Linked DNA regions of Mus musculus: all the other regions are reported to be linked to region 2. Evidence: microRNA targets listed by miRTarBase, many of them from high-throughput screens and not tested one by one. Region 2 holds a microRNA gene; each other region holds the end of a gene's coding sequence.

Region 1 (4,414 bases), not on the chromosome of region 2:
TGGGTCACCCATCTGGTAATGTTTACTATTCAGGGTGATTTTTTTTTGTTTTGTTTTGTTTTTTAACTCAGTAAAGAGTTTAGAGCCTTCACACTATCTGCCAAAAAAGGGTGGTGCCACCTGTAAAGACTATGACAATTCTTTGTGACATAAGGGGAATATAATAAGATTACATGGCAACGAAACTATCAACCACTCACTCAGAAAGAAATTCAGAAATTTCTTCTTGAAATACAGAAGTGCTCTTGTAAGAGAGTATGTGACACCATAGCATGGTGACTATGTATAGTATTTCCTATCTTCACTTTAAATTCTTAGATCTATACTTCCTTTGCATACATACTATAAAGTAAAACCATGTAGAGATTGCATTTCCCGTGCTAAGCAGGCATTTTTCTTTTCTCTCCTGGCAGGATATCCTGGGTGGCGTTCTGATCACTGCAGTCCTCATTGCTCTGACCTACCCTGCCTGGACCCTCATCGATTCCCTGGACTCTGCCAGCCCCCTCTTCCCTGTGTGTGTCATAGTTGTACCGTTCCTCTTGTGCTACAATTACCCTGTGTCTGACTACTACAGCCCGACCAGGGCAGACACCACCACCATCGTGGCTGCTGGGGCTGGAGTGACCCTGGGATTCTGGATCAACCATTTCTTCCAGCTCGTGTCCAAGCCCACCCCATCTCTTCCTGTCATTCAGAACATCCCACCCCTTACCACTGACATGCTGGTTTTAGGTCTGACCAAATTTATGGTGGGAATCATGTTGATCCTCTTGGTTCGCCAACTGGTGCAAAAGCTCTCCCTGCAAGTATTATTCTCATGGTTCAAGGTGGTTACTAGGAACAAGGAGGCCAGGCGAAGACTAGAGATTGAAGTCCCTTACAAGTTTGTTACCTACACATCTGTTGGCATCTGTGCCACAACCTTTGTGCCAATGTTGCACAGGTTTTTGGGATTGCTCTGAGCCCAAGACAGTTAGGAACTAGTCCGCTAATGCGAGATGCAAAATGGAGAACGCTGTCGATTCAGGTAATCTCAATGCCTCCTGTTTAAGGAAACCCTAAGTCATAGTTTTGTTTTGCTGATGTAACATAGATACGGCTGCTGTGGGATTCACCTGTAAGGACACCAGGCTCAAACCACAGCTGAGCTCTGCAAGATCACCCCTCCCCTTTCTGTTACATGGACTTGGGACACGGTCTTGGGTGGACAGGAATTGTGGCCCAGTTTGCAATGGTTACAAGCCCCACCAAGCTCCAGAGACCCAGTAGACTTGAGGTACTATGAAGGCAGGATAGTCTTTTCAGTTACAACCTTGCCTGATGCCGAGTCTCAATCCCCAAACTGGAGTTTGGTCTGGGAGTAAGGGTGGCACCATGGAAAATCTCAACTCATTGGACAGAATGGCTTCTTGTGCTGTCATCAGACTGGACTGTCCCTGAGTGGGTGGTGAGACCATTCTAAAATAAAGTTTCCTGTGAGGACACTGAAGATAGTAGCAGAGCCATGAGGCCACCGGAAGAGCTTGCTTTATTTACCAACTCATCTCCTCCAGGAACTATTAGTGAAGCAAGATGCTGATCTGCCTTGCAGACAGTCCACAGCATCCAGTGATTCGGTTTCCACACTAGTGTAAGCAACGCACGACGGGCTGCCAGCTCCTCACAGGTGGAAATGAGGACACGCTGCGACTCCTGCCCTCACCTGCCTCGCCTTCAACACCTTCAGTTGCTTGAGCTTCCACATAAGCCTGGAAGACACTGAATCAGCACAAGAATGGATGAGCTTCGTCCTCTGGAAGCCCTCACACACTGCCTCATCCCTGTGACTTTACCTTTCGTCATTGCTTGGCTACTTTGTATAAATGTCTTCAGTTATTCACCCTCTAGACAAAATCAGGGACTCCCTCTCAGTCTTCCCACTCCTTCTTACCTCTTTCTTGGCAAGATTTTTCAGTTAAGAACTTTAAGATGTTTAGACCTGAAGAATTTTAGCACAAGAAAAGCTGCAGCCTATTTGGAGAGAATAAGCGGGTTAACTGTAGCTCCTGTTAGCCCTAGAATGGTCCTCCTTATCTCCTTAGAGCTAAGAAGGTGTGCAGGACACCCACAGCAGAGACCTCCTTCCCTGGGCTCAGCACTTCGGAATAAGCACCAGATGCAATGACATCCCGAAGGGTTCGAGTAAGTGGTAGTCATTGGTCATTTGAGGGATGGTGTCAGTAAGCCAGTGCTTCACTATATGCTCGTACTGGACAAATCACCCTCTGACCCCCAAAAGAGCTAAGGCTCCAACTTTTGCATTCAGTGTAAACACCAAAGCCAAAATTTTCTCTGATTTTGAGTATGTCCCATGGTCTATGGTTGGAATGATGTTCTTTGGTACTGAATGTAGTGTTTTAATTCCTGAAGAATAATTCTTGGACTGGGCATGGTTTTAATCCTAGAATCAGAGGCAGGTAGATCTCTGAGTTTAAGGCCAGCCTGGTCTACAGAGTGAGTTTCAGGACAGCCAGGGCTACACAGAGAAACCCTGTCTTGAAAAACAAACAAAAAGAATAATTCTTAACAAAATGCCCATTTTTAACTTGACAATTCTTCTCTTCTTCGTCATAGTTAAGAACAGGAATGCAAAGGCCTAGCACTTGCCAGGTTTTGCTGACAGTATTTCAGCTCCGTGGCTGGGGAGCCTGGAGCCCTGGTTTACAGGTGTGCTTGCCTAGGCCAGCCTCCAGTTGTGCATGGCTGTTTCTGTTGTTTCTCCCCCAACCCCCAAGCTACCAAACTAGAGCTTGTAATGCTGGCTTATATTCACACAGGTGATTTTAGTTGGTTTGTCTGAAGCCTAATGACAAAAGGCTCAGCTTCTTCTACGTGTATCTGCAACAGAAGGGCTGTATGTATTGTCACAGCGGTGGATGTGGTGATTAGGAAGTTTAAGGCCCAACAACATGGAAGTTGACAACTGAGTGAATGCATTCGAGGCTGTGTTTACATAATTTAGATGGAGGATGAATATATTAGCCACACAACATTAAACAGTGTCCTAAGAATTTGTCATGACTGGTCACTCTTGGATGGACTTGATACAAGAAAAGGGAGGGAGAAAGTATTCACTGTAGATGCCAAGTTTAGTTTTGGATTCCTACAGTACTGATTTTAAATGCTATGGCTTGATCACATTTTGCCTTTGGTGAGCCTTCTCAATTCACCAAACTCACTTCTTACAGAGCAGCACCGGCATCCTAGTAAAGTCTCTCTTGGGTCTCTTTTCAAAACACTTTGTCAGTTTCTCTCTGGAGAGAGAGTGCCCCCTGCTGGCTTAGCTTGTCTTAGTCCAGAGGCCCTCTTGCACTGGGCTGGCCTGGTCACCAGAATGTGTCCCTGTTAAGTCTAGGCCTGTCCTATGCGGACACCAAAGCTTTTAGCTTCCTCTGGGAATCAGGAAGAATAACACATCCTTTTCTCATCTTGCTACTACTCTGGGCCAAGTCATCAATGTAGAACCGGCCTTCCAAGCCGCTGTCCATTTTGCTCAGACCTGTACCTTATGCTGGAAAAAGACATAGGCAAGACCCTTAACCTAATACCTTTCATGATAGCCACTAAAACCACTTGACACTGTGCCTGGTAACTTGGGTTTTCTTGCCGAAATACACAACTCATCTTCCCAGGATAATCACAGCATGTGGTATTTCAGACCACGTGTTTCAGGTTTCTATTTTGGAAGCTTTCAACTGTCTTGCTTATGCAGTGTATGTAAATTTATTCTTTTTTAAAATAAAATCTTTTTGTTTGAGTATGATTATTAAATGCTTTAAAATCTAATGTTTTGTTTCTGTGGATTTTTTTCTTCCTTTTTTTTCTTTTTCGAGACAAGGTCTCAGTCTGGGACCCAGGTTAGCCTTAGAGAACTAGAATGTTTTCGTAGATAAATGGCTGAGGTGTTTAAACACTCCTCGCACCCCCTCCACCCCAGTCAAGCTTGCCCAACTGTATGTGATGCTTTGTCTGGCTTTAAGCACCTTGATTCGCAATTCAAAGAAGATTGTTCTTAGATTCCCCAGTTATGTACAGGGTTAAGTGAGGCCACATTTATACTAAGAACTGTGTATACTGTCACTCGTGCGCTGGGCACCTAAGGGATGTCAAAGCTCTAGCCTTTTCTGTGGAGTTCTCCCAGGTCAGTGAAGACACAGGTTCATAAAATTTTAAGTCAGAGCTGAACCGCCAAGGCTGTGTGGAAAAGACCAGGCCATGGGAGGCAGCAGGACAAGTATCAATTTGGACATGAGAACAAGAGCAAGTGCAGTCTTTATAGAGGGCATTGCAGAAGCCAGGCTTGGAGGGGAGACCAGGTTGCCCAGGCAGTGGGGTGAGAAGGTACAAGAAGATACTCGGAATCTAGGGACCA
Region 2 (4,414 bases):
TTGTCATGGGGAGGTTAAGTTTTAACATAGTTAATTTTCACGTGGGGTTAAAATAATATTGCAGTAGGTGTTTTACATTATTTGAGCAAATGTAAGATCTTTCCATTTGCACCCTGTCGCTAATCAGCGTGTACAGTAGAAGAAATTCGGAACCGTCCCTTTAATAAAACATTCTTTCCCTAGCCTCTTCCAGTGGGCGTGGCTTAGGAACCTGTCGAGTGAGGTGTGACTTCAGCTCTGCAGGCTGACCGGCCCCCTGGAAAGAGGGCTGGTGCTCAGAACCAGGAAGCAACAACTGAAGCTTCACACAGCACTGGCTTTTACGTGGCGAAGAGCCCCGTAAAGAGTAGGAAACTGAAGTACCGAGTTTGCTTAGCTGTTATCAAAGTTTTGAAGCTCTAACTGTGGATAAAGACTCCATAGAGTACTTAGAATACCAAGCTTTCTGGGCCAGAAATTGATCTGCTGACTTTTGACTCCTATCTGATTACTGCTTGGTTCATCTTTATTTTGCTCAAGTTATCTATCTGCAGGCTGAACCCAGAGCCGCTCCGCTCCTTTGCAGGTAGGTGGTCGACTTTCAAATAATATTTAGGTCGGTTTTTGTTTTTTTTTAAGGCTCAGCTGCTAAATACTGAAAAAGTTGCGACTATCAGACTGGCATGTTTGAATAGCGTGATTGTAAATAGTCACGTTTTTGAGACAGCTGGACAACCTTGCAGAAATAGTCATTTTTAACAAATTAGCACCATGAATTAAATGAGTTTTGTTTTGTTTCCCATTAACCAATTATGTATTTACATTTAACTAATGGATGAAAATGTATGTTGAAATTATCTTGCTAATTAACTTAAATAGCATTTTGTTCTCAGGTTTTGCTCGCCAGTTGCATGTCTTTTACCGTTAGGAAGCTGAGTGTTCACCACCAAGTCATTTGTTTGCTTTAGTTTTTATCTTCGGAAACGTCTATTATTTCAAAAAAAGTTTTTGTGAACGGTTAATAATCTAACACAGTTGTGCTGAAAAATCGCCTTCTTCTGGTAAAGCTATCTAACCATCCTTTTGCGATATGAAAACGGTTCCAATGATGATGTCTCTGGAAGACTTAGTTAATTCACAGTATGAATTATTGTTATGAAAACAGAATCCACACAGAATCTCTGGGGTAGAAGGCGAGTCCCTTTAGGACCAAGGACAGGAGCATCCTTAACTGTCACTAATGGGCCTTTATATTTTTCTTCTCTGGATATTCTACTTGAGAAGACTTCATCCGCTAAAAGGACAGTTGTAGGAAATAGAGAGCATCGCAGAGTTTGTTTTCTAGATGTGTGATTTTTCAGTTAGAGTTCTCCAACCTGGGATTTCTACTCCGCGTTCACATAATCAGCTGGAAGCAAAGAGGCATGTTTTTCTTAGCTTGCCTCCTTTATTGCAGGTTTTTGAATATTTTTGACATTTTTGAAGTGTAGATAATGACATCTGAATTGTCATCAGCTGGTTTTGTGGTCATCTTGGCAAACTGGGATATAGCTGCCGCAAGTCCAGACCATTTTCCTTTTAAGCTCCCTGGTTCCATGAAGTGTAAGGAGAGTCATCTAGTAAAAACCAGGACACAGAGCTGCTCCTGGGAGGAGGGAAAGGCGGTGGTGGTTGTTGTAGGGGCTGAACACCGGGGCTGAATTCAGGGCCTTTATACATTTGGCCCCATTATATATTTTTACATTCAACCTCTTAACTTTGAAACATTTCTCTGATTGGGCTAGGAGATGACTTACTTGCTAGCTTCATAACTAATGTTACTTCTGTCCATCTCTGCCCTCCCTATGGGTTGGTCGTCTTCTCTCCATCTCTTCTAGTTTTTCTTCACGAATCCGTCTGTCCTCTAGCTTACCCAGAAGCCTATCTCCTCGGTGGAGCCTCATCTGGCCACCTTGGTCCTCAATAATATTAACTCCTTTTGCACTTCCCTATCCCATAGACTCTTCCAGCCCATTAGCACATGATCATGTGCATCTGATTTAAGAGTGCCCTGTATCCTTCAGACATGAGTACTAAATTCGGAGATTGTTTTTATACCCTTTGGATCTAGAGCGGTGCCACAGGTTTCATTCCCAATAAAGACCTGTGGAATGGATGGAAGATCGTATTGACAGTTGCTTCAAGTACCATGCTGTCTCTCTCTCTTGTCTTGCTTAATCATGTAATTAATTGCAATGTTCCCGGAGACCAGTCTGTTACTATGATATGATGTTATTTTCCCAAATAGTTTACAGCTTGCTTTATTTGGTGATTAAGGTTTTTTTTTTTTTAAGTGGGTCGGTGTGTGTGTGTGATGCCCATGGAATCCCGAAGGGTGTGTCAGTTGGAGTTACAGATTTACAGATGTTTGTGACTTGCCTCATGTGGGAGCTAGGATGTGGCCACTGGTCCTTTGGTGGAGCAGCAAGCACTCTTAACCACGGGTACATTTCTCGGCTGTACTTGGTAACTTTACCACTGACATGCTGTCTATAAAGGAAGCAAGCTAGAATTTACTAAAAGTAAATTAGTATTCTGAAGGTTGTTTTCTTGCATTTTATATTTTAGGAAAATGTAATTTGGAGCTCATTGGTGTGCAAAGTTCTAAAAATGCTTAAAATATTCAGATACAATCGTGAATTAGAAGTTTTGGTTCTCGGGCATTGGTAGCGCATGCCTTTAGTCCCAGCACTCGGGAGGCAGAGGCAGGTGAATTTTTGAGTTCAAGGCCAGCCTGGTCTACAGAGTGAGTGCCAGGACAGCCAAGGCTACACAGAGAATCCCTGTCTCGGAAAAAAAAAAAAATTTGGTTCTGAGTTAACATTTAGGACAACTCTGAATTGTGATCATAGGTTGTATGGATTTCAGATCAGTAATTAGCAGAAATGATAAGTAACTTACTTTTATAGAAAAAAAATCACTTTAAGCATCTTTACTGAAGTGTACTTCTGCACAGTAGCCTCTTTAATACACACTTTGAAAACCCACCATTTTCTAAGTGGAATGTGCCTTTTAGTTTCAACTTCTTTGGAGAATAGCTCAAGCCCAAGATCGGCCTTGAGAATGTGGTTAAACCCTGTGAGAAACGATTATCTGTTTATCGATTTAACTCTTGGTTTAATTATTTATTCTTACATTTTTGCCTACATATAGGTCTGTGCACCACTCGTGCGCCTGAGATGGCCAGAAGATCCCCTGGAACTGGAGTCATAGGTGGTTGTGAGCCACCATGCAGGTGCTGGGAATCAAACCCAGGTCCTCTAGAAGAGCAGCCAGTGCTCTTATCCATGGGACTTCCTCTTGAATGTCTCTTATCAAATGGGCATATTTAACCTTTCCTTTTCAGCGATGGGGATGGAGCTCTGCAGAGCCTTGTGGATGATATGCAGTTCTCAACCACTAAGCTATTATGCCCAGCTCCCATTAACCCTTTTTTTTAAAAATAGAAAATAGGGAGACAAATAGGCCAGGATCTATCCGAGCCACACCTTGACTGCTCACACCACGGCTCCTCTGACTTTGGCCTTTGTGCTTTGAATTACAGTTACGTTATCTGTTGCATTTTCCAATAGTCACGCAATGTTTCTGTCATCTTAGAGCCTGACCAGACAGGAGTTCTGGCAACTGCTCCAGCAGAACTATGGCACGGAGCTAGGCTTAAACGCTGAAGAAATGGAACACTTGTTATCAGTTGAAGAAAATGTGCAGCCAAGGTACAGTGAAGCAACGTAGAGTGTCAAGGTGCATTATGGCCCATCACAGTGGGATCATTGTAGGTCGTTTCAGTTCTGAATTTCTTTGAACTCATCGTTTGGTGCGGTTTGCCCTCTTGTTGGTAGAGTGCAAGTTGGGAGAGAAGAGACTCATTTGCTAAGTTGGTAAGCACGTGTGGGACGTGAAGAAATGTTAGAGATGAGGCTATGACTCTTAGAATTTACTACTAGAAAGCCTTTTTATTAAGGATCTGGAGCAGGGGCTGGTGAGATCTCACAGGAGACACTAGAGCAATTTGAGGGTTAGGGTGGTTTCATGACTTTTCCTCAAAGTCTCCCTAGCACCGTGGCATGTGTCCCACATTCAGTAGACACCGATCACCTTAGTCAAAGGAGCTGACCGTGCCGTGGGGGATGCAAGCAATGGTAATGTCAGGGTCATGTGCTGCTATAGTGTGATAAAGAAATTAGTAGAGAGATTATTTGGACAGCTGTTCATTAAGAAGTGTGAATATTTTACTAACTCTCCAAGTTAAAAAAAAATGTACCTTATCAATGTTAATTGAGACCATAGCCTCAATAAACAAAGATAATACATTAAAATTCTGTAGCATTTTACATTAGGCTAAATGAGAGAAGCCAAGATCCAAGGACCATTTGCCTTTTTGGTTGGTTGCCTATCG
Region 3 (4,414 bases), not on the chromosome of region 2:
GTGGGAGAGGGGCTCCTGTGCCATGGTGTGGAGGTCAGAGGACAACTCTGTATACTTGGTCCTCTCCTTCCATCTTTATATGAATTCTAGGGACCAAACTCAGGTCACCAGCCTTGTATGGTAAGCATTTCACCCACTGAGCAGACCACACATCCAGCTTTTTATATGGGTTCTGGGGACCAAGCTCGGGCCCTTGCACTTGTGTGGCAAGCACTTTCACCCACTGAGCCTCCTCTCCAGCCCTGATGGCCACTCTTTAGCATAAATTAGGAGCATTCAGCTTTTCAGTTCTTTAGCAGGAAACTGTTACATACATAATACATACATACATACATATACACATACACACATACACACATACACCCATCTATCCATCTACCCACCTACCCACCTACCTACCCATCCATCTGTCCATCCATCTACCCACTCACTGTTTACTGAGGACTGCATCTGAGTCAGTGCCCCTCCCTGCCCACAGTCCTAAAGCAGAGGGGTGAATAGAGAAGGCCATGTCTATATCCCTGTAAACACAAAAGTCTATGTGGGGCAGGGGTTTTGTCCTATGCTTCCCTGTTTCCAGTCTTCTGTCTGTTGTGAAGCAGGTCCCTAAATGCTCTGCAGGGAGTGTATGAAATATGGAATGGATGGACAGATGGATGGATGGATAGATGGATGGATGGATGGATGAATTGATGGGTGGGTGGATAGATGGGTAGGTGAGTAAATAGATGGGTGGGGTGGATGGTGGATGTGTGGATGGATGAGTGGGTGGATAGATGGATGGCTGGGTGGGTAGGTGGGTAGGTGGATGGATGGATGGATGGATGGATGGATGGATGGATGGGTGGATGGGTGGATGGATGGGAGGTTGGGAGGATGGACAGTTGGATGGGTGAGTAGGTGAGTGAATAGTTGAATAAATGGGAGAATGAAGGAAGGAATGAAGAGATTAATGAAAGATGCCCTTGGGCTGATCTGGCCCAGGCAGCAGGAAGAGGAAACAGATGAGGAGAAGAAAGTGAAGGAAGAGACATGTCCATAGGTGATGAAAACTGCCTCTGACTGGGCACTTGGGCCACCCACAATGAGTGACTCACACTGGGAAGCAGGGCTCCCCTTTCCCTACCCATCCCTCCTAGTTGGCAGTCTAATTTAGTCACCCAACTAAACCTTTGTGTCCGAGCTGTTCATGGGCGTAGCCCTCTATTTTTGGCCACAGCATCCCTACTTCCCCTCTTAAGACTCTTAAGTCCCATCTGCGCGTCCCAGTGCCCACTGCTCTTTCAAGAGAAAAGAACCACTGGTGGGTTTGGGGTTATGGCCTGGGACAGAGCTGAGAGCAGATCAGGGCTCTGTTTGCTGTACCCATAGTCCCTACTGTCCTGACACATTTCCCACACACCGTGGAACCTGGCTTTGGGCGTGTATCCATCCGTGTATGTGTGTTTCCCCTTTTATGTCTCAAAACATTAGTACAAGAAGGGGGGATGAGTCATGGGTGTGCATACCACGAGCACATGCACAGGCGGAGGAGGGTGGGGTACATGAACTGAAATCTAAAGGATTCAGGCTGGAGAAGAAAGCCCTTCCTGCCATGATGATAATGGACTGAACCTCTGAACTGTAAGCCAGCCCCAGTTAAATGTTTTCTGCTATAAGAGTCACCTTGATCATGGGGTCTCTTCACGGCAATAAAACATTAACTAAAAAGTCATCCTTGACCACACAGCAAGTTCAAAGGCTAATCTGGGCTATAAAGAATCCCGTCATTTGTTTGTTTGTTGACACAGGGTTTCTCTGTGTAGCCCTGGCTGTCCTAGAACTCACTCTGTAAACCAAGCTGGTCTCAAACTCAGAGACCTGCCTGCCTCTGCCTCCCAAGTGCTAGGATCAAAGGTGTGCACCACCACCCAGCAAGAATTCTGTCTTTAAAAAAAATTCAAAGAAGTCACAAATAGCCATCATCCTACCACTCTGGGGGCAGCTTACCCTAGGAGTTGCTTCTGGCACAGTGTTAAGAGTTGTAAGAAGTGGCTGGAGAGATGGCTCAGTGGTTAAGAGTACCGACTGCTCTTCCGAAGGTCCTGAGTTCAAAGCCCAGCAACCACATGGTGGCTCACAACCATCCGTAATGAGATCTGAGGTCCTCTTCTGGTGTGTCTGAAGACAGCTACAGTGTACTTAGATATAATAATAAATAAATCTTTAAAAAAAAAAAGAGTTGTAAGAAAAATCATTTGGGCAGATCAAACCATTGGTAGCTACTGCAGCCTGGAAACACAGTCATCTTTGATGCAAGTTTAAAATCACCCTGGTAAGAAAACACTCTTGTGTGTTCCATCAAGAACAGCAGTTGGTATGTCCTTCCCAACCCCTTGAACCCCAAAGGCTCCTCTGACTTCAAAGCTGGGCTTTAATAGGGGGCTACAGGCATGTAACAGACATCATTTAAACCATTTCTTCTCCCTTTAAAAAGGTATTTTAGGGCTGGAGAGATGGCTCAGTGGTTAAGAGCACTGACTGCTCTTCTGAAGGTCCTGAGTTCAAATCCCAGCAACCACATGGTGGCTCACAACCAAACATAGTGAGATCTGATGCCCTTTTCTGGAGTGTCTGAAGATAGCTTCAGTGTACTTACATATAATAAATAAATAATCTTTTTTTAAAAGATATTATAAACTTTATTTCATCTTTTACTTAAGAATTCAGAGAAGCCAGGCATTGTGGCACACACCTTTGGAGGCAGAGGCAGGCAGATCTTTGTGAGTCTGAGGCCATTCTGGTTTACAGAGTGAGTTCCAGGACAGCCAAAGCTACACAGAGAGACCCTGTCTCAAAAAACAAAAAATAAAAATAAAAATGAGTCCAGAGGAATTTGCCCCTGACCTTGGTGCCACGGGCCAGGCTTTTGTCCTCAGAGCTTAGGTTTTTTTCTCTGTGAGATGAAGGAGTTGGTGTTTAGTACCTCCATGACTCCCCTTCCTTTGTAGTCTCATGGGTCCCCCACTTTCCCAGTGACCACAGATGTTCTTCCTGGACTGACACTACAAAGCTAACTAACACAAGTACCGTTCTATACGAACCATGTCAATTCCCAGAGCCCCAAAAGAGCAGCATCGATGTCTTCCACACCCAGAGGCAGAACAAAATACAGGCTAAGAGGAGAGAGCCAGTGGGATGAGACTGTGCCCACAGAGCCCTGGCTCCTGCTCATCTTTAGTGAAGCCACTGAGGCTCATGACATTGAGGGCAGCAGCCAGCAGGGAGCCTTGGAACCTGGTAGTCACCACTGAGAGGATCAGGTGACAAGGAGTCACAGGTAAAGGTCAGAGAGTCCTTTTCTGGGCTTCTGGATCTCACTGTACTCTGCTTTCTGGTCCTGAGGTTGATGAAGAGAATCTCCATTGGCGTGAGAATCCTGCCTCTGGGAGTTGAATGCCACGGATGAATAGTGAAGCTCTTCCTGGGGTAATGCCTGTAGAGAGAGACCCCAGACTCATGGCTACAGGAGAAGGGCACATACCCTGGACCTCAACTGCCTCATTGGCCCACCTGGTCAAGCCACAGTGGGAAGTACCCATGCTGGGTATATCATGGCCAGCAGAAGTAGCCACGGTGGTAGAATGCTTCTGATGTCACAGGCTGACTTGACCCAAGGGGGAAAGGAAGTTAGCTTCCAACCAACCGATTTGTAATCATTAGCTACCAGGTGATACCAGGTTGTTGCTGGTCCCATAGCTGGGAAGACATGAGAACATGTCACATGCTGGAGGAAGGGGCCTTTCAGATGCAAGGCGAGGTACCATCTAACTATGGACTGCTGAAAATGAGGACACTGAGCTGCTGAAAGTGAGGACACTGGGTTCCCTGCCTATCACTCATCCTCAAAAGACACTGATGAAGGGCTGGAGAGACTGTCCAGTGGTCAAGAGCATTGTGTGTTCTTCCAGAGGACAGGGGTTCAATTCCCAGCATCCACATGGCAGCCCACGACTGTCTGTAACTCATTCCAGGTTATCTGATGCCCTCCCCCAGACATACACACAGACAAAACACCAATGCACATGGAATACAAATAAATGAGTCTTTTTTTTTTTTTAAGACACTGGCACAAGTGAAAGGAAGTCATAGCTTTGGGTCATCCCGAATGGATGTGGGACAGAACCTCTCATCGTCATCCCCCATGGAGCAGGAGCTGCAGCCTTGGTTGAATGGGGTCAGAGAGGACTCATTTTGATGAGTCACTTTTTCAGTGGTGTATATCCCCCCATCTCCTGTCAAAAACTATGGCATCCCTCGGGGGATCAGATAAGGGTTCGGAGGGCTCTGAGCCTGGGGGTAAGGAAAGGAGTCTCCCCCCCCCCAAAAGCCCTTGATATTTGTATCTCTCTCTCAGTTTCTGTTTGACCCTCAA

What was found. Region 2 holds the annotated microRNA mmu-miR-3470b (UCACUCUGUAGACCAGGCUGG, at 2,748-2,768, opposite strand). A microRNA usually pairs through its seed, bases 2 to 8, with sites in the 3' UTR of a target mRNA and lowers its output. Matches are read on the target gene's strand: a 7mer-m8 pairs with bases 2 to 8, a 7mer-A1 pairs with bases 2 to 7 and ends in A, and an 8mer does both.
Region 1: the mRNA of Sgpp2 is a reported target of mmu-miR-3470b. Seed matches in the 3' UTR shown: 8mer at 2,493-2,500.
Region 3: the mRNA of Cd300a is a reported target of mmu-miR-3470b. The part of its 3' UTR that is shown has no 7-base or 8-base seed match.

What each region holds. Positions count from the first base shown.
Region 1 is chr1:78,416,462-78,420,875 of GRCm38, forward strand. Sgpp2 (sphingosine-1-phosphate phosphatase 2) reads left to right here. Exons shown (of 5, transcript NM_001004173.2): 5 at 414-3,825. The coding sequence ends at 965. It also overlaps a transcript of Farsb not described here. Among named protein-coding and RNA genes, the nearest start is that of Gm51634, 62 kb to the left of the region's middle.
Region 2 is chr16:44,012,239-44,016,652 of GRCm38, reverse strand. Mir3470b (microRNA 3470b) reads right to left here and starts at 2,801; the gene lies at 2,676-2,801. Gramd1c (GRAM domain containing 1C) reads left to right here. Exons shown (of 17, transcript NM_001359085.1): 6 at 3,616-3,731.
Region 3 is chr11:114,900,190-114,904,603 of GRCm38, reverse strand. Cd300a (CD300A molecule) reads right to left here. Exons shown (of 7, transcript NM_170758.4): 7 at 2,658-3,475. The coding sequence ends at 3,314. Among named protein-coding and RNA genes, the nearest start is that of Cd300a, 12 kb to the right of the region's middle.